Linked DNA regions of Coturnix japonica. The protein of the gene in region 2 interacts with the protein of the main gene of each other region in a biochemical or structural test. Links are inferred from orthologs where the notes say so. Each region holds a gene or a part of one and is shown on either strand. Other genes may lie near its edges.

Evidence for each region. The genes of interacting proteins can lie anywhere in the genome.
Region 1: the proteins of MLXIP (region 2) and MLX form a complex in vitro, tested with the Homo sapiens proteins (2 studies listed by BioGRID, with this or other methods). The link is inferred for Coturnix japonica from reciprocal best matches to the Homo sapiens genes MLXIP and MLX.

What each region holds. Positions count from the first base shown.
Region 1 is NC_029542.1:4,576,142-4,585,690, reverse strand, and holds MLX (max-like protein X), read right to left. Parts: upstream 6,519-9,549; 5' UTR 6,403-6,518; coding exon 6,358-6,402; intron 6,277-6,357; coding exon 6,240-6,276; intron 6,163-6,239; coding exon 6,079-6,162; intron 5,971-6,078; coding exon 5,864-5,970; intron 5,703-5,863; coding exon 5,603-5,702; intron 5,459-5,602; coding exon 5,359-5,458; intron 5,112-5,358; coding exon 4,910-5,111; intron 4,435-4,909; coding exon 4,378-4,434; 3' UTR 2,910-4,377; downstream 1-2,909. Other genes in the region: PSMC3IP (homologous-pairing protein 2 homolog), read left to right, coding at 663-699, 849-952, 1,086-1,175, 1,241-1,352, 1,436-1,581, 1,806-1,859, 2,104-2,163, 2,259-2,318; bifunctional coenzyme A synthase-like, read right to left, coding at 6,560-6,832, 6,888-7,034, 7,181-7,278, 7,361-7,445, 7,680-7,744, 7,845-8,034, 8,100-8,231, 8,305-8,519 and 1 more. UniProt on the Homo sapiens protein: Transcription regulator. Forms a sequence-specific DNA-binding protein complex with MAD1, MAD4, MNT, WBSCR14 and MLXIP which recognizes the core sequence 5'-CACGTG-3'. The TCFL4-MAD1, TCFL4-MAD4, TCFL4-WBSCR14 complexes are transcriptional repressors.
Region 2 is NC_029530.1:4,926,634-4,936,522, reverse strand, and holds the start of MLXIP (MLX-interacting protein), read right to left. Parts: upstream 6,186-9,889; 5' UTR 6,148-6,185; coding exon 5,777-6,147; intron 1-5,776. UniProt on the Homo sapiens protein: Binds DNA as a heterodimer with MLX and activates transcription. Binds to the canonical E box sequence 5'-CACGTG-3'. Plays a role in transcriptional activation of glycolytic target genes. Involved in glucose-responsive gene regulation.

The DNA of each region.
Region 1 (9,549 bases), on a different chromosome or scaffold from region 2:
TCATTGAGCTTCCCCATCGCTTTTTCTAAGCCATAGATACGGATCATTCACCTCTTCAGGGCAGCTCCCATCTGTGTGCTTTGCTTTTCCTTTGTTGTGCTCTGAGGCTGTTGGCCGCACACTGCGGGGATCGGCCTCGGGGGTGGTTTATTGCAGCCGTGACCGAGGCTTTATTTTATTCTGCCATAAAATCTTCCTTTGCACCTTTCAAGATGCAGCTCATAGTGACACAACGGCCGCGGTGGGAGCGGAGGGAGGAGCTCATGGAGCTGAGCTGGGGGACACGGGCCGTGCCGAGCTCACGGCTGGGATTAAATCCTTGGTTCATTCGGTTCGTGTTGTGGTAACTGGGTTCAATGGAGCCGCGGGGCGGAAATGGCGGCGTTGGGAACGGCCCGGGAGCAGCGGCTGTGCCCGCGGCCCGGCCCGGATCGTTCCGCCCCGTTTAAAGCCGCCCCGTATCGGGTGAGTTGACGCCGACAGCGGCTGTGGGGGAGCGCCCTGAAAGCGGGACGGCCACGGCGGCCACAAAGGGCACCGGAACTGCCCGAGGGCCGCGACCGGAAGCGGGGCGGAAGCGGGGCGGAACAGGAAGCGCCTCTCCTTAGCGGTGCGTCGCGCCGGAAGTGCGTCACAGCATCTGAGCGGGGCGCGGGAAGAAGATGAGCAAAGGGCGGGAGGGACCCGAGGGGAGCGGAGGGGAGCGGGGAACGGAACGGGACGGGACGGGACGGGACGGGACGGGACGGGACGGGACGGGACGGAACGGAACGTGAACGGGGGGGGGGGGACGGAACGGACAGGAGCCGCTCCTGGGCGGACACGGTGCGAGCGTTGCTGTCCCGCAGGGCCCGGTGCCGTCGTGCTGCGTTACCTGCGGGAGCAGAACCGGCCGTACAGCGCGCAGGATGTGCACGGGAACCTGCAGCGGGAGACCGGGATGGGCAAAGCGGTGAGCGGGAAACGGCCGGGAGACCGAACCACGGAGCGGGGCTCAGTGCGGGAATGGCGGTGTCTGTTGGGGCTGTCGGTGTCTGTCGGTGCTCCCGGTGTCGGTGCTGACGTGGCTCTGTCCCGCCGTCCAGGCCGTGCTGAAGGCGCTGGAGCAGCTGGCTCAGCAGGGCCGTGTCCGTGAGAAGCCGTACGGCAAACACAAGATTTACTTCGCCGACCAGGTGAGACCCGGCACCGGCCGCGCCCCCCGCCCCCCCCGGCCCCGCTGAGCCCCCCCCGCCCCCAGGAGCAGCTCCCGGCCGCGGGCGATGCGGAGCTTCGTGCGTTGGACGCCGACATCACCGCGCGATCCCGGGAGCTGCAGGAGCTGCTGAACAACTGCCGGCAGCTGGAGGCAGGTGAGCGCCCACACGGCACCGACCGCGGGCGGCCGTGGGCACCGCGGGGACCGGCCGAGCCGGTGATCGGCGCCGCCCTCCAGAGCTGAAGGAGCTGAACGGCACCATGACCACGACGGACATGGCCCGGGAGGTTGAAGAGCTGAGGAAGGACTGCAGCAGTTACACGGAGAAACTGGAGAGGATCAAGTCTGCCACCAACCACGTAACGCCAGAGGAAAAAGAGAAGGTGAAGAGCTGGGGGGGGTTGGGGGAGTGAGGAACGTAGGAACGTACAGCACAGTCTGCATCGAGGCTGCTCAGAGCAACTTGGAATAGCACAAGTTGTCCTTTCCTTGCAAATCTTTGTCCAGTCACTGGGCGCTACCAATCCATCTCCTGGCTTTGAGCTCACAGACACTCAATGCAGTGGCTGCTGGCTGAGTTGTTCTCACTTTGCCTTTCCTTTGACAGGTCTGCAGCGAGCACAAGCTGTACTGCAAGGAGTGGCGGAGGAGGAAGCGGATGGTAATGGTTTCCCCATTGAACGTGAGGTGGGCAGAAATGTCAGTGGCAAACCCACAGTGACAGTGGAGCGGGCACAGTCTTTTATTTGTTCTTGGGGAAACAAAACAAGCTCTTGCATCCCTGTGCAGGGGTTAATGTGGGAACAGCTGTGTTGGCTCCCTGTATGGGAGGCAGTATCCCACAGCTGTGGCAGAAAGCTCAGCATCAGTCCTGCAAATCTCATCTAACTTCTCTGTCCTGCCAGGCAACCGAGCTGCTCGATGCCATCCTGGAGGGATACCCCAAAAGCAAGAAGCAATTCTTTGTAAGTCCCCCTGCTTCTGCTTGTGTCCCAGGGCAGCTGCGCCTGCTGTGTCAGAGGGCAGCCGTCTGCTACAGGAGCACTTTGTCCTCGTGCAGGAGGAGGTTGGAATAGAAACTGATGAGGAGCACAATGTTACACTCCCAGCAGCTCTGTGAGGTGCAGGTGGATCTCATTGCTTTACAGAGAACACATGGTGGTGGATCCAATGCTGAAACTCAGTTGTTGGGTTTTAGGTTCGTTTTCTTCTGTAATTTTTTTCCAGGGCTTGTGCTTGTTCTGCACTTTTATATATTTTTGTTTAAAAGTGCTTTGCCCCTGGAAGGGAAGTTCAGAGCAATTGACTCAGCAGTGGACCCTCTCCATTTTGGTTGGGCTTCTTCACTAGGCAGTGACTGGGAGGGTGTAAGAGCACTGGGTTACAGGGATGGTGTGTTGATAAGAACAGGAAGGAAGCACCTCACGGAGGTGAAGGAACGAATTACCATTATGGCCCATATTTCTGTAAACTCCATACATGGAGGGAGCTGCTTCCCACAGTATGTACAGAGTTGTACACAACCCCACGATTCATTAAACACCATCCTTCTGTTCCAGATGTGCTCTGCTGTGGTGTCTTCTGTGTTGAGAGGGTAGCAGGGCTGGCCTTGGACGTGGTCCGTGAGCCACAGCTGCAGTGGGTGCAGCCCTTACCTGATCCCATTAAAGTCTCCAGGCACACAGCACCAGAAATAAAAGCAGAAGAGCCATTAAAACATTCAGCAAAATTTATTTAATCATTTTCCATAATAGAAAAATATGTCACTTTCACATATGAGGTCTGTAAAAATCCGCATCTTCCTCTCAAGGCAAGAGGTTGCATCTAAAGGAAATTAAGCTGTGCCCTGTACGTGTCATCAGTTGTGTGCGACACCACAGGGTCTGACTCCTACTGGGCTTCTATTGTATTATATCCAAAAGGTCACAGGGTTTGGAAAAACAATTTCATCTAAAAATCAACCCCACCAAAAAGCTTTTCTTCATTTAAGTCAAACAGAAGCAACAGCTTCAACCATCTCCAGCTGCAGCATTCAAAAATCAAGCAACCCGGAGCTGAGAAACTTAGCATTACCTCATCTACAGTGGAAAAACAACATAAAATAAATAGTTGCTACTGTTGGAGTGGTAGCAAGAACACGACTAGAGAACAAGTCCTGCTGTATGTGTCAATGCCATGGAGGGTGATGCTGTCCAATGCCATCATTGTGCTTGGTTTGCTGATTCACACTGACAGCAGCAGCGTGTGGCAAGTGAGACACTGCAAAACTGGCATTGATTACACTTTACAATGATTTCAGTGATCTATAAAATAAAATCAAGGCTGGTTACATGTATATAAATATATATACCCACATAAAATCATGGTGCTAAGGAACAGCAGTGTGAACTCAGAGTAATGCTGTGCTGCAGCTACTGAACTTTCCTGTTCAGTGTGGCCACATCACAACCCAGAAAAAGATAAAGCCAGGCCCAATTCAGCACTCATCAGAACAAGGAGGAAAAGGCTGCAATGAAAGTTCACTCCTTTCCCATTCAGGGGTGTTACTGAAGAGTCAGCACAGCGAGGCCCCAGGGCACTCCTTCAGCACAGAGCTCGCTTGCTGCTCCATGTAATGAGCATTGCCCTGGCAGTGACATGCTAATAAACCTGCCCTCAGTTCTCCCGGGCCTTCTCCAAAGCAGCTACAGAAATTAAAAGCAGACTCTTGCTTTTCTAAGAGCTGCTTCAGAGGGAGGTATTGAAAACCTGCAGCTGCAGAATAACCCTATTCCTGAGCTGCATTAGCACAGCAACAGCTTTTAGCACTCTCCTATTTCTCCCTGCTCCCAGGTTCAATAGGGTTTATATCAGGTGTGAGGTTACAGAGCAGATTCACCTGCTGAGCTGCAGCCCTGAAATCAGTGGCACAGATAAACCCAACTGCAACCACCTGCCTGAGCTAAAGACACTGGCAACTTAAAAGATCTATATTCAATACACACTTATTTCTTTCCCTTCACTAAGTCCTTAGCAGTATTTGGTAACGTTGACTGTGACAGTACCTGTTTGCACAGCTTTGGTTTGGTTTTGTAGTGACAATAAATAATCGAAGAAGCTTTAAGGACCAGCACAAGGGAGATGGTCCAGCCTCTCCTGGCAGCTGTCACCCGGTCGGGAGGTGCTCCAGCGAGGGATGCTCAGTACAGCTGACTCTTCACCTGGTGCAGGACCCCGATGACAATGTCCCGTAGGGTCTGGGGCAGAGAGGAGACACAGTCAGTTGTTCAGGGGAGGAAAAGCCTTTCCCATGCTCAATGCTACAGACAGCACCTGGTGCCACAGATCTCAGCACCTGTATGGGAAACGATCGCCTGTCTGTGTTCTCAGGCTGCAGGGCTCCAGGCAGCCACAGCACAACAAGGACCTGGCCCTGCCCATGCAGCTCATTCTCTTCCCTCCTAACTTCTAAGTGTCTTATGGAACAAAGTGCTGGGGAACAAGCACCCTCTTTGTAAGCTCTGTTTTTCAGTGTCTGAATTTCACTGCCAAGCAGCTGGGAAATGAGAGGAACCCAAGCTCCCATGCCCCAGGTCCAGTGTCAGCCACATTCTGCCTTTCTGAAGGCCCAGGCGAAAGAAAAGCTGCACACAGGCCTACACTCCAGACAGGTGCAGCCATACACAACAGCCTCTGCTCTTATATCAACCCCCCTGTGTCTGCTGTACTCACATGGGGCTTACAGTGCTCCTCAATCCAGCTGAAGACACATGCTGACAGCTCTTGAAAACTCGTGACTGAGATGGAGGCATTAAAGGACTCAAAGAGGGAATCCATAATGCCTTGGAAAACGTTGAATTTCACCTGGTCAGAGACCTGGTCCTTCCCCTCACTCGGGTTGTCCTGGTGAGCTTTTACGATCTGCTCATAGTTCCTGAAACACCAAGTTTGGGGCTCAGTGCTATCGAAGCCTCGTACTGCACAGCAGCTGGGCGACAGCGGGGGCAGAAGCTGCTGCCAGTAACTGGACACTGAAAACAGCTTCAGAACTGGAGGCAATTTGGTACGACCCCAGGTGCCAGACTGCACACAGAGCACTGAGCACATCGGGGGAGCTTTGCAGGGACATGGGGAAAAACAGCAGGAAGAAGGGGGCAGCAACCAAATAACTTCTTACTTACACTTTCATTATCTTCAAGGCCATCACGTCTTTCCTGAGAGTAGAAACTTCCTCTTCTTGCTTCTTCTTTTCCTTGTGCAGGAACTGAATGTAATCAATGGCTGAACACAAAAACACAGAGTAAGCAGCACATGGGGCCCCTCTGACCTCCCTGAGGTCGGTCCCCGAGGCACCATCACACACAATCACCACATTGAGGTGCCTGAGGGTCGGATCGTGCCCTGCTGCCTCCTGCACACACTCACTCTTCTGCAGGATGACGGCCTTGCTCAGCTTCTGGGAGCCGATGGCGAAGTCCTGCTGCTGGCAGGTGGGCACGATGGCCTGCAGGTCGTCGTAGCCTTTCTGCAGGGGCAGAGGGAGCAGAACAGGCACAAACGGCAGCGGTTACACGGACCCACAGCCCAGCTCCCACCACGCGGCCAAAGCGGCTCCAGCCACACGCGGCTCATGGAGCGGATCCAGCACGGGACGAGGGGCTGGAACGCGGCGCGGCGCCCACCGACCTTGATGGCATCGCGCCGCTTCTGCTCCGCCTGCGTGTGCGCCCGGCGCCGCTGGTCCTTGTAGGACTCCTTGTAAAACTCCTGCGGGTAATCGCTGTCCTCGTCGTCTGCGGACACAGCGGCGCTGAGCGCGGGTCGGGACGGGCCCCCCCGGACGCCGCCGTCCCCGGTTGCCCCGCGCCCGCCCCGCTCCAGCCCGGTGCCCCCGTTCGTACCGGTGTTGGGCACGGACGAGGCGCTGGTGGATCCGATGCTGTTGGCGCGGGACACGACGCTGCCCTTCCTGTCCGTACCGAGCGCTGCGGGACAGCGGGAGCCGCTCAGCGGAGCCGCCCCATCCGCCACCCGCCATCGAACCGCCCCCCCCGGCACCTACCGGGCTCCGGGACATTGTCCCCGTACGCGGCGTCCACCTGCGGGCGGAGGGCGGCGGTCACGGGGCGGATGGTGGCGCTCCGGGCCTCGGCCCCACGGTCCGACCGCCGCCCCGTTACCTTCCCCCACGCTTCCTCCGCCGCGGCACCGGGCGGCTCCGCCATCTTCCCCCGCCCCGGTCACGTGGGAGCCGCGGGGGACGCCGGGAAGCGCCGCCCTCCCGACCGCGAGGGGGCGCCACGTGGGGACAACGGGAACAACGGGAACAACGGGACCAACGGGACACAAACAGCACGGACACCGGGAAACTGCGACCGCCCTTTAACCGCCGCTCGGCTGCGGGATCACGGCGCGGAACCGGCAGCGCCCGCCGTGCCGAGCACGGGCCGTACCCGCCCGGTCGGGGCCGCGGCGCTTCCGGTCCGTCCCGGCGCGTTGTGCGGCTCCGTTCGCTCCGTTCGCTCCGTTCGCTCCCGGTCCCGGCTCCTCTCGGTCCCGTTGCGGTTCAGCTGCTCGTTGCGGTGGCCGCGCGGTGGATGCGGCGCTGCAGCAGCTCCCACGCCTTCTCCACCTGACAACGGGCACCGTCAGCAGCTTCGTGCGGGGCTCGGCGCCGTTACACCGGCCCGTTACAGCGGCCCGTTCTCACCTGTTTGTGGGTGACGTCGGGCTCCCACGCGGTGCTCAGCACAACATGCGCCTCCCGCACCCGCTGCCCGTCGCTCATCTGACTCCGCAGCCGGTCACGCGCCGCCTCCTCGCTCAGCCCGTCCCGGCTCACGATGCGTTTCAGCGCCTGCGGGACCAGCACGGGACGGGGGGTCACGGCGATCACGGGGGTCACGGCGATCACGGGGATCACGGCGATCACGGGGGTCACGGGGATCACGGGGGTCACGGGGGGTCACGGGGATCACGGGGCGGCCGAGGGGAGTCACCCACCTCGTCCTCGGGGATGATGGCCGCCCACACCTCGTGCACCATCTCCTGCCATCCGGCCTCCAGCAGCACGGCGGCATCCAGCACCATCACGGCTTTTCCTACGGAACGAGGCCGTTCCTGGTCACCGGGCGGACACAGGCAGCGCCGGCAGCGCCCACTACAATCAGAGCCACCCGGTACCTTGAGCTCCTGCCTCCCTGATCTGCTCCCTGACCATCCGCGCGATCTCCGGCCACACGATGTCTGTGAGGTTCTTCAGCCGCTCCTGGAAAGGAACCGCAGCGGAGTCAGGGTCCTCCCAGAGGTTGGTCCACGAGGGGGCCACAGCTGGAGGAGCAACAGCAGCTGCTGCCTGGATGTGGATCCTGCACAGCCGCTGATTTACTGTGTGCTACTGCACAGGGACGTGGCATCAGCTCAAAGGGCTGGAAATCAAAGCGCCAGCACAGAGTTCTCTGCTCATGAGGTTAAATATTGACATTCCCTGTGCTGCTCGTACCTGGTTTCCAAACACTTTTGCCCCGAGGATCTTCCTGTTGATCGTCCCGTCTTTGTTCAAGATTTCTGCAAGACAGAGGGAGGTGATTTGGGAGCAGAAAGAATCCAACTCACCTGCACAGCGTGTCCCGGCACAGCGCCGGTGCCGCAGCACACCCAGCCCCACCTGCCCCAAACGCAGCCACCACTTGCCCGTGGGCCGGGCTGCCGGGCAGGTACACAGCGTGGCCCAGTGCATCAGCATCGATGATGAACGCTCCCATCTGCCCCAGGCGGCGGGCGATCGAGGTCTTCCCGCTCCCGCTGCCCCCGGTCAGACCGATGATGTAGGGGCGGGGGGGCAGCGTGGGGCTGTCCTGGGGAAGGAAGGGTCAGACGGGCGGTGGTCCCGCAGCTCCCAGCCCCCGGCAGCTCCCCCTACCCGTGGGGGCCGCAGCAACGTGCCGAGCAGCCGCTGTCGCAGGCTGGAGGAGCTGATCTTCTCCTCCTCACTGAGGCTGTGTTGGGGATCCTCCATCAGCTCGATCTCAAAGAGCTCCAGTGCGGCGAGGCCCTGCCGGGAGGGGACACCACTGAGCCCCCCAGATGTAACCACGGGGCCCAGAGGTCTCAGATCCTCCAGTTACGTTCTCGATCCTCTTCTTGTTCACGGCCTCCCCTCCCTTGCGTGTCTCCTCGCTGACCACGATGCAGCGCAGCTCCGGGTCGGTGATTGCGGGGCCGTAGGGGTCGCCCAGAGGCACGATGTCGTACAGCACCGAGGGCTGCACATCTGCCAGGAACTCCCGCAGTTTGGCCACCCGCAGCTCGTAGGGCTCGATCAGCTCCCGCAGGACTTTGTCTGCAGCAGCACCGCGACGGAACAGTGAGAGCAGCAGAGCAAACGGTTCTATGGTAGGAACCCTCCAGCAGTGCCCCACCACCATCCTGCCCACAGGGCCCTGGACTGTGCAGGACAGCAGCTGCAGGACCTGGGCTGTCCCTGTGATCAGTGCCCGCCACCGGTGCTGACCCACATCCCTCCTGCCAGCAGCCCCCGAGCGCTCTGAGCTACCCGGACACTGTCCCATACCCCGGCCCAGGGGCGGCCCTCAGCCCCCACCGCCGTCCCGTCCCGTTCCCCGCTGCCCCCCGGCCCCGCTTCCCGCAGCACTCACGGCGCAGCAGTTCCCCGTCGGCCACCCCGACCAGCAGCCTCCGCCGTGCCAGCAGGCAGCAGGCGCTGAGCAGCAGCCGGTGGGCGCCGTGCAGCCGATCGAAGGTGCCGCCGACCACCACGTCGGAGTAGACGGGCAGCTCCGCGCCGGGGCCGTCGTGCGGCGCCTCGGGTCCGTCCGAGCCGCTGAGCAGCACCGCGGGCAGCTCGGCCGGGCAGCCGTAGGCGGCGGCGGCCAATTCCCGCAGCGCCACCCGGACCGGCCCCGCGTCGCCGGCTCCGCCGTCCGCGAGCAGCACGCGGGGCGGCCGCGCCAGCCGGTGTCCGTGGCCCAGCAGGACCCGCACGTCCAGCTCCCGGTGCGACGCCGCCGCCGCGTAGAGCGCGGACAAAGCGCGGAGCAGAGCGGGGGCGCGCGGGGGGGCGGCGGGGCGCGGCGCGGGGCCGTCCAGGCGCAGCCCCGGCTGCAGGTGCACGTAGAGCGGCCCCGTCACCAGCCCCGCCGCCTCCGCCAGCGCCGCCGCCGCCCGACGCGGCAACGAGCCCAGCGGGGCCGTCAGCACCAACAGCCCCGACGGGAACGGCGCCATCGCCCCGCCGGAAGATCGCACCGACCCCGGACGCGTCACGGTCCCGCCCCCCGCCCCGCCCCCGCCGGGCTCCGCGGCCTGGAGCTGCGCGGCAACGTGGGGGCTGCGGGCGGGGGGAGGATCGC
Region 2 (9,889 bases):
CATTAATTATACTGCAAAAGTGGCATAAAGACAGCACGTTCCACATTCAAAACAAATAACCAGAAACACCCCGCCAGCTCCCTTCTGAGCAAACATGTTTTGAGAAGCCCACCTTTAGGATTTCTGTTCTAGCAGTAAAACTAGCAGAATTGATCCAGGAAAGCCCAGCTTTTCCTAACCCTGTTTTCCCAGCCTTCCTGCTTCAGACCGTGTGACAATGGTGTAACTTCAGCTTGCACTAAAAACAGATTCAGGATTTTCCATCACTGTCTGGAACACAAAGAACCAACTCTATTTTCTTTGGAGGTCACTGAAACAAGCACTTTTCCTAAGCACCTATAGAATTGTTTTATACATTTTTAAAGGTTTCCTTCCCAGAGCGAAAGGAAAGTTTGTAGGACAGCTGTAAAATATTTCAATAGCCATCAAAGAGTTCAGAAACTTCGCCTTTTTCCTCAGAAGTAGCTTAGAAGTTTTGTCTTTAAAGAGATTGTTCATCTCTGTGACATTACAATATCAAAGGACGGATGAGGAAAACTGTAAATGCAATTAATTTCTGCATACAAAGGAAAGGAAGTAGCAAGCACACAGCCTACGGTCTGTTAATTAAAAATGAAATAACAGATTAGATCCTAACTGGTCCGAGCTTCTAAACTGGTCAGCTTTGTTGTTTTGTTTTAGAGAGACAAACCTTTCTTTCTTACAGCAAAGGAAGCAAAGCAGCACCAGAGCAGCCATAGCAGCACTGCCACTCCCCCCCCTCCCATCTTATTGAACTTGATAGTGCTGACAGAGGTCATGGAGATGAAAACAAGAGGGGGATACAACAATACTATCGACCCAGCTGTGTGCCTTTCACATGGCCCTCCTTCATCCAATGCATTCCTCAAAGATCCTTGTAATTTTGCTACAAATCTCAGCCAGCCTCCCACCTTGTCCTCTCACTCCCTTTCTTTGCAAGAGATCACCCAGCATCATGATTAAGGGAAGAATTCCACTCACACAAGACACCTAACAGAGCTGACTCTCTTTCAAGCCTTTCAGTTTCTCTGTAAATTTAGAACACCTTTCTGGCACTGCAGAAATTCCTGCCCATCAGCTCAGTGGAGCTACACAGCCCCGTTACACCTCCCCACCTCTTCCTACCTTGCAGCAGCTGTGGGTACCCCTTTGTTTAAGGCTCAGGGATACACAGACAGATGAGCAGCTGCTGCACCATCAGCCCTGCCTTCCAACGTGGAAGAGTAAAAAACAAGAACGATTCAGTGAATTACAAAAGGAGTACGTGGAAAACCCTGAGTAAAGCTGAGAAATTGGGATTTTTTGGCTTTAATTCCTCTTGCCATTCAGAGGAAAGAAAGAAAAACAGGTAACCAAAATGCTGATTTCTGCTGCCAAATTCTACTCCGCTCAAAGCCCACCATAGTCACGCAATACAAAATCCTCATAAAAAGGAATTCCAGATCTCGCAGTTCAGCCAAGATCTTGGCAACCTGAGGATACACTAACTCCCCATTTCCCTATTTCGACAACCCAACAAAAATGATGGTTATGAAATCCGTGTTGTATTTATGCCAGAAAATAAGATCTGTTTACTACTTGGGAACACAGGACAAGAAAACTACAACCCAACATGCAGATGGATTGGTAAATCACAAGATGATATCAACGGCATGGTTTTTATAAATGCAATTACTGCGGACCACACCTCTGCAATGCACCCCACACAGCAAAAAAAAAACCAACCAACAGCACAAGCCACCAAGAGCAGCAGGCATGGAGCCGGGTGGGGAAAAAAGGGTTGTTCCTGCATCTAAATCTGTCTTCGGAATTCATCATTTCTTCCCAGGCTTTGGAAGCACTGAAGACACCAAAACCTTAATTTTAATTAAGACCTTTTCACACAACCGCTATTAAATATTTGCTTTGGCAAAACAAATACAGCTCTGAAATGAGCACAGCTCAGCAATCTTTCTGCAAACCTTCCTGAGGCTCAAGGTTGTCGCGGTGCAACTTACCAGTTACTTAAATAGAGCTTAAAAGCTTGCGACTATATCAAGCACTCGACTTAAGCAAGGTAATAGGCTCAGTAACACTGTCCTGATTCACATTGTGTTCTGAACATAGCACACCTTACCCACCAGCGCTCATAACACGGCAATTCAATTCAAGTTAGGATTAATTTATGAGGTGAGCACAACTGTTGCCACAAGTAGCATATAAAAATGCACAGATAAATTCTGGAAGCGTTTTATCTCCAACCTGCTGGCACCATTGCCAGGAACTTCCCAAAGCACTCACTCATGGCACGTGGAAATGTGCTTTAGAAAGAAGTCAATCCGAAATGTCAGTCCAGCATCAAAGGGAATGTTTTTGGCTTACATCTACGTAAAGCAATGGGGTCAGATTGCTGAAGAGGAGAGATGAGATCTAGAAACGACCTGGCAAGCTTCTCCAAAGCAAACTGATGCCACGGCTCCCACACCTCACACTCATGTTACGTGTAACTTTAACAAGCAGGATCCAGAAGGTTTTAAACAAGTACCTAATGCCAGCACTAACACTCTTACCTAAAACACAACACCTGGCGCGCTCCTTAAGCTCTCATTAGAAGGTGAGAGGGTTCTGAGGCTACTTAATAATAAACAAGCCCACAAAGTCATTTTCATTTACCCTATCATGTCCTACCGCCAAGTAAGATTGACATCAGCTGGCATAATTACGCGTAACAGAAGTTTAAAAAGAAAGCCACCCACATTAAAGAACAACTCACGCTCACTAATTCCTAAAATAAGGCTCGTGCTTTGTTTACACCATGTACGTGACCACACACAGCTGGCTGCCCTGTTCCCTCAGTTGCATGGATCCTCTGCACTTCTACACGCCTGTTTCAGATTTGGGATCTCACACTGCATGTTCCCAAAGCAGAGCTTTCCACAGGGAATGCTGCCACTCCCATATTATTCCAGCCCAATCGGGCCATTAATGGCTTGCAGCGTCCTTTCTAACAGCACATTTTTTTCCACCTCACAAAAGCCTTCAGCCTGGACACTACAAGGAGCTGGACATTATTCTGCTGCTGAAAACAACACTTAGAAAAATACTTCTGTCCAAAACCCAAGAAAAAGAATCAACCAACTCACATTACAACGTGCTATAATCAAAACATCTCGGAATATAGCTCAGTTTGGGGAAAGTTATTTTTGGGTGATGTAAATATTTGGATAAGTTTAATGTTCCTAAAGGGTTTCAGTAAATTAAGGATCAGGATTACATTTCATTTGATGTAATTCTGCGTAATAACCCTTACGGGCCACACAATTACCAGCACAGCTTCTGACTGTGAGAAGGAACAATAGCAATAGCAAAGGTCGTTTCCATTTTGGAAAGCATATTTTTTAAATCTTTCTACATAAAGTGGCCTACCCACCTTATACTAGCTGCAGTTACTTGTGCTGCTTACACACACAAAGACACACGAGGTCACATTGTTTTACAGCACTGAGATGAAAGGGCTGGAAGAGATAAACCAGGGCTCTTCTACCTCCACCAGCACGGTACGGTTACCACAATCAATCTCATGAAAAAACCTGGTGACACTTAGATAAAGCACAGCCCGCGTGACACCTGCGGGAAACTGCAGCGTTTATAAGTAACTTATTGATTTAGAAGATTGTTTTAATCTCGGAGCTGTACAGCCAGGCGTGCTCTGGCCATGCTTTCCTCTGTGAAACGGCTCATCTGAAACGAGGTTCTTCTGCCCGTGCAGATGGATACGTGACTGAGACACACAGGATGAGAATCAAAATCAGGTTAGTCTGCACTGCTTGAAGGCATGAGGGAATCGTTTCCATCATGGTCAGAAACAGCTTCTTTTTTAATCATAAAGAAGTGTGGCAGCTGCTTAACAGAACAAAGCTATTTAAGACATATACATACATATATATATATATGTACACAGCACAATTAGAAGAGGCCAGGCTATGCTACACATCCCCAAGTGAATGTGATTCAGCATAAATCTGACCATCTCAAATGTAAACCATCCTGACCTGGTAATCTAGAAAAACTTCCTTTGCTAGTTCATCAGCAGGACTGATAGATAACACAATTTAGTGCTTCTTTTTAAGACTTTAAACACTGAGATATCAGCAATGGGCGTCAAGTGTAAATAAATATTGCACACTCAGCTCTGTTACATCAGTTTCCTTGTTTCTGTACTTAATGCAGCTATCAACCTGCTCCAGAAACACAACTTGCTGGCTCAGGCCCTTCCTTGCTGGGTCTGCAACAGCCATGATGCCAAAAGACACCTCTGCACCTTTCTGCTGTGGGGTTGTTCTCTTGTTTTTCCTCTAGTACGGGTTTCCATGCAGTAGAAACAGCATGATATCTGTGTTTTTTGTCAGCATCAGATAAATGACACAGCAAAGGTGACAATAAAACCACCCCCAAGCCAACCAGAGCCCCTCAGACCAACACGAAGCACAAGAGGCACTTGCTGCTCCCCCTGAGTGCCATGTGCCCCAAGGAGAGCACAGGCCAAGGCAGCCAGCCTCAGCCTACAGGTGTAATAGAGGCCGGTGAGGAGATGCACAGAAGCTGTGTCATTTGTGATACTTTTGGTTCCTCCACATATTCCTCTCAGGCAGAACAGTTGATTTTTAGTGTCACAATTGTATTTTGTTCTGTAAACACTAGAATGTTACAAGCCTCTTCACATCAGTAACCAATAACCTGCTGGTACAAATCACCCAAGCGAGGATACGTGCAGCTCTGTTTTCTCACTAAAGGTACCAAATGGACGGTTCTATTCTTTCCTCTTTGCTGAGCAATATTTCAAAATCAATAAATTCTAAAGCCAGAAGAAGAGCCCAAGTAAAATGGCACAGAATAAAGATACCTGGGGTGGGCAAAGTTCAGCTCCAGTTAATATGGCTCCTATCAACGAAGACCAGTATTACTGCTGATAACACTCAGGGGAGTTTTCCATCATCCCATCTAATCAACTTCCAGAATATGCTTAATATTGAACATCAGAGCGGATCCCGCTTCTGATCTATCGCGTGGAACAAAAGGTTCGTGCAGACACACATCTTTCCCAACACTTCTGATCCATCGCTCTGCCTCCATTTTGGAAGGCAGACAAAGGGCCTAAATGTGGATGTAACATCCGAATAAACTGATGGAAAGCAAAACCAAAGTCAGAAAAGCGCGAGGCGACGATAAACCCAGGAAGTGCAGCGCTCAGCTGCAGCCACCGGAACAAAGGAAACAATGACAGACTCTACTTTTTTAAGGCAGTTGTAGGAAGAAAACGGGACAAAAAGCTCCGAGCTCAGTCCCCGTGTCACAGGGACACACACACGCTGCTCGGGCTGGAGGCGGCTGCTCGCACCAAAGCTGGCAGCGATGCTGCGCGTCGCGCCCATGGCCACGATCCCACAGCGGGACGGATCCATGTGCCGGGCTCAGCGCTGTCCCCGCACGGCACGAAGCGCCTCAGCACCGTGGCCTAAGCGCAGCAAGGAGCTCCAACTTCTCGTGCAGAAGCGGCAGCCCCGCACAGCTCCGTACAGCTCCGTACAGCTCCGTACAGCCCCGTACAGCTCCGTACAGCCCCGTACAGCCCCGTACAGCTCCGTACAGCCCCGCCCGCCCCCGGCGCTGCCCCGGCCCCGCGCCCTCGGGCCCCTCGCCCCTCCCCGCTCCCTCGGGGCTTTCCCCGCGCCGCTGACTCACGAGCCCCGGCGCCGCTCGGCCCCACGCCCGGTACCTGTAGGCCAGGGACATGCACTCGAACAGCTTCGTAAGGGACGCATCGATGCTCAGCCTCCCCCCGGCGCCGCCGCCCCCTCGGGCCGGCCCGAACTGGTATGTCTGGCAGGTCTGCTCGTTGACCGTGTCGAAGTCGTAGCCCTTCTTGGGAGGGTGCTCGCTGTGAGGCGACGACACCATGAAGTGACCCGAGTGGATGATCTGGGGGCCCGGGGGCTGCCCCCTCCGCGGCCCGCACCGCCGCCCTCCTCCCGGCGAAGCGCCGCCGTCGTCGGTGTCGGACGAGTCCTCATCGGGCTCCGTGCGGGGGGACAGCGGCCCCGCCGCGCCCAGGAGCTGCGCCGGCCGCATGAACACGTCGGCGGCCATGGCCCCGCTGCCGCCGCCGGCCCCGAGCCCAGCCCAGCCCAGCCCGCCGCCCGCTCTGCGCCGCCACCGCCCCGCTCCGCCTCGGACCGGCCCCCAGCTCCGCCCCGCCGCCAGGAGCCGGAGACACAGACACAGCTCCGCCCTCACGGGCCGCCCCTCCTCGTTCCCGCCCCTCCTCGTTCCCGCCCCTCCTCGTTCCCGCCCCTCCTCGTTCCCGCCCCTCCTCGTTCCCGCCCGGGCCGCGCTCCCCGCTCAGCGCTGCGCCCGACAGCGCCGTCCCGCAGCGGCGGGGCGAGTTCCAGCCGGGTTCTCCCTCACGGTTGGTCGTTGTGCAGTGAGGGCCGGGCCGCCTCGTGTCCTCACACACACACACGTTGGCCCTGAGCCGCAGCCGTCACCGTGTCCTTTCCCCTCGCAGCCCCACAGGCACAAACGTGGCCGAGGAAGGTGGTGACTCCACATCCCACGGTCCCGCTGTTGTTCCCCGCTCGGTTTAACACCCAGCGCGGTGCTGCCAGGGCACAGCACAAGGTCACGAGGCGGCACGTGGGGAGAAAAGTGGCCTTGAGCAGAAAAGCGGAACCGCTTGTGGCTGTAATAGTGCTGAGCAGAACCAGGAGTGAGCTGCGTGTCTGTGGCAATGCTCTGCCTCACAATAACGGCCCTAAGCTCAGCTGAGTGCAGCAGTTCCCCCACACAAAGAGGAGGCATCGCTGCCATGAGGGCTCCAGCCGTGACAAGTCTTTAAAACCAAGTCTGACGTCCAGAGACATTTGTGGTGCTTAAAAATATACCGGCAGCACACATCACAGCCCTCAATGGTAAGAGATTATCTTCCTAAATGGCACAGACTGCGAGATAAGCCTTCCCATTGTGGTAGCTGTTTTTCACCCAGGGCAGCAGATTGAAGCGGTTCAATGGGAGGATCCCACAAACACCCCAGTAAAAGAAAGGGAGGTACCAAAAAGGAGCAGCAGCTGCTCACAGCTCACCCTCCCCACAGGATACTTTGGGACACAGCACATAGAATGCTGAGAATAAGCAGGACAATAAGCAGGACAATAAGCAGGACACTTCACGTCCACCCTGAATGCAAAGAATCCATCCAAAACTCTGAGGAATTTATATCCTTGCCAGCATCAGACTCAAATACGCTTCCCAGCTGCAGCACGTCTTCACACTGCGCCCTCTGCTCCAGTTTAAGTTCCCACCAGACATTAGCTGAGCACCTTAAACTTTACATTACTAAGTTTTTCTGCAGGCTGCTGTAATTTCATTGCCTGTATTCATTTGATGCTGTTGTATTACCCAACCGGTCAGTGCCCTGCTAACACACCAAGGCAACCTCTGCTCAAACCAAACAAATCATTTCACATGAGACACCGCCATAGAGTGTGTGTTTCCAAAGACTGTGAAAACGGGCATTTATTTTTAACTTAAAAAACAAGCTGAGGTTAAATTTCTCGCTTAAAAATCACTCACAAAGCATTCTGTGTTGTGATTGTTTTGTTTTTAATTATTTTATTTTGGAAATGAAACCATTGTACATTGTACAAACCATAACTACCGATGGAATAAATAAGTGAAAAATTATACTGCTGTACAACACGCACACACACAAATCATAAGATGGAAAACGATTAGGTACTGAAGGAAACAAAACTCTTTACACCTCCTAACAGGCCCTTAGATAGAAAGAACATCCCAAAACATGACCATGTAACTGTATGAAGATAGCCACCCAAACCCAATATTTTATACTGCCGTGTGGATTTTTTTGTTGTTTTCTAAGTGCCAGCACTTTCTTTTTTTTTTTCTTTTTTTCTTTTTTTTAAATTTTTTTTTGGAATGTTTAACAACTGCTTTCCCAAGCATAAAAATTCCAAGGAATAGTTCTGCTATAAAATGTTTGGCTGAGTAAATCACTTATTTGGAAGGCCTTCCCACACGTTCTACAAACTCAGCTAATTTACTTGCTTTGCTTCTAGTTTCTTTCGTTTTTTTAATATATATATATATATTTTCATGTTTTGTAACTGAAGCCCCAACATTCAGCACTGTAGCAAGGAAGCACTTGTTGAAATCTGCCCTGTTTCTGGAACATCAGCTGTATGAGAACTGTCAGCCATCTTGAAGAAAATCACATCTCTCCTCCTGCTCCACGTCTCAATGCTTTCAATGAAACCTTTTACAGTGAGTTCATCAAACAAGTTTCTGGTAGAGACAGGTCCAAACCGAAAAAAAAAGAACCAAAAAACCCAAACAAAACCAAAATAAACAACTGGATTTCGATCTGGTTTCAAACCTCAGACTGGTTTGAATGCGATGTTCTGGTTTGGTCCCATCTGTACTTTCTGGCATTAAAATGTGTTCAATCACATCCGTTGGCCCATAAATGTTATCAGGCACTTCACTAAGACTAATAACAGTCTTATACACTATTTTGGATTTCTTCATACCAGGTAATGCCAAAGTCTCTTCTCCCAGAGAATGACAATAACTGATCTAAGGAACCCAAAGCTATCTGCTTGTTCAGCTGTCTGTTGTTGCTAGAATCTCTGGTTAAAAATAAAAGTTCTGAATGTATCCTGTGTAAGCTGTAAATGAAACGTTACTATTTTAGAAATAAAGCCTCTAGGAATAGAATTATGATGCCTTGTCTTGTAAGCCCCAGAACAATGAGCAGTTCCGAGCAGAAGCCGCAGGAGAGAAAAGGAAGCTTATAATTAAACCTGTCGATGTCAATAATGCCAATAAATGCTTCTATCTAATGAAAAATTTGAGGTATTTTTAGTGCTATTTATATATTTTATTTCTTCCTAAAGTACAGGAATTAGTTCCTAAACAAAAAAGCTATTTATTCCCTTGGAAACCTCTACAAAATTAGAATTAAAAACTTGCTGCGATGCACCTGGAGATAGGGATTAGTAAAAACGACTGCTTGTCAAAGGTGGCATCAGATTTGTTTTGCTTTAGCATTAAGGATAATAATAATACAAAAAAAACCCACAAACCAACGGTAAAGCAAAAATATTTCCAAAGTTTGAATCTTTCTAAATTTGACCATTTCATATATCAATAGAACTTCTCACAAAATATCACTTAAATCTGAATGTAATATACATACAAATCAATCAGCATTGACCAGTTATCCACATTTTAGGCATACATACAAGTCACGAGAGAATTCCACCATTTCATTGCATAATGTTGTGCAAACATAATTTCTGGCTCCTCATTTCCTTATTTTCAGAACATTAAATGGACTTCGTGATCAGACCAGAAATCCCAAAGCCTTATTAGGGAGCACGCTTCTATCACAGGCTGTTTTGCAATCAAATTTTATTCGGTTAAAATCCAAAAAGTTTATTTCAACACAAAGGAAAAGCTGTGAAATTGAGTGTTGTGTGCTGTTTGGAGGTGAATCCTACAAACATCCTATGGAATGCCAGTTCTGGCTCCCCCAGCTGCCCTCCCTCTACTCCCTCCCCCAAGTTCCCCATTGTTTTTCATAATAAAGTGGTAATTGCGGACGCAATCCAGTAGTCTAAGTGCAAGCCATTTTCACTATTGGAGAATTCAGAAATAAATAAGCTTGATGAAGAGCTAATTATGAAAATGTATCAACTGGAAGCGATTATTTTATTTATTTTTTTCCTTTAAAAAAGTATTTACAGTTCTTAACTTACAAACTATATGCAACCATTTTCATAGCTGTGAGATCATAGTTTAAATTACAAGC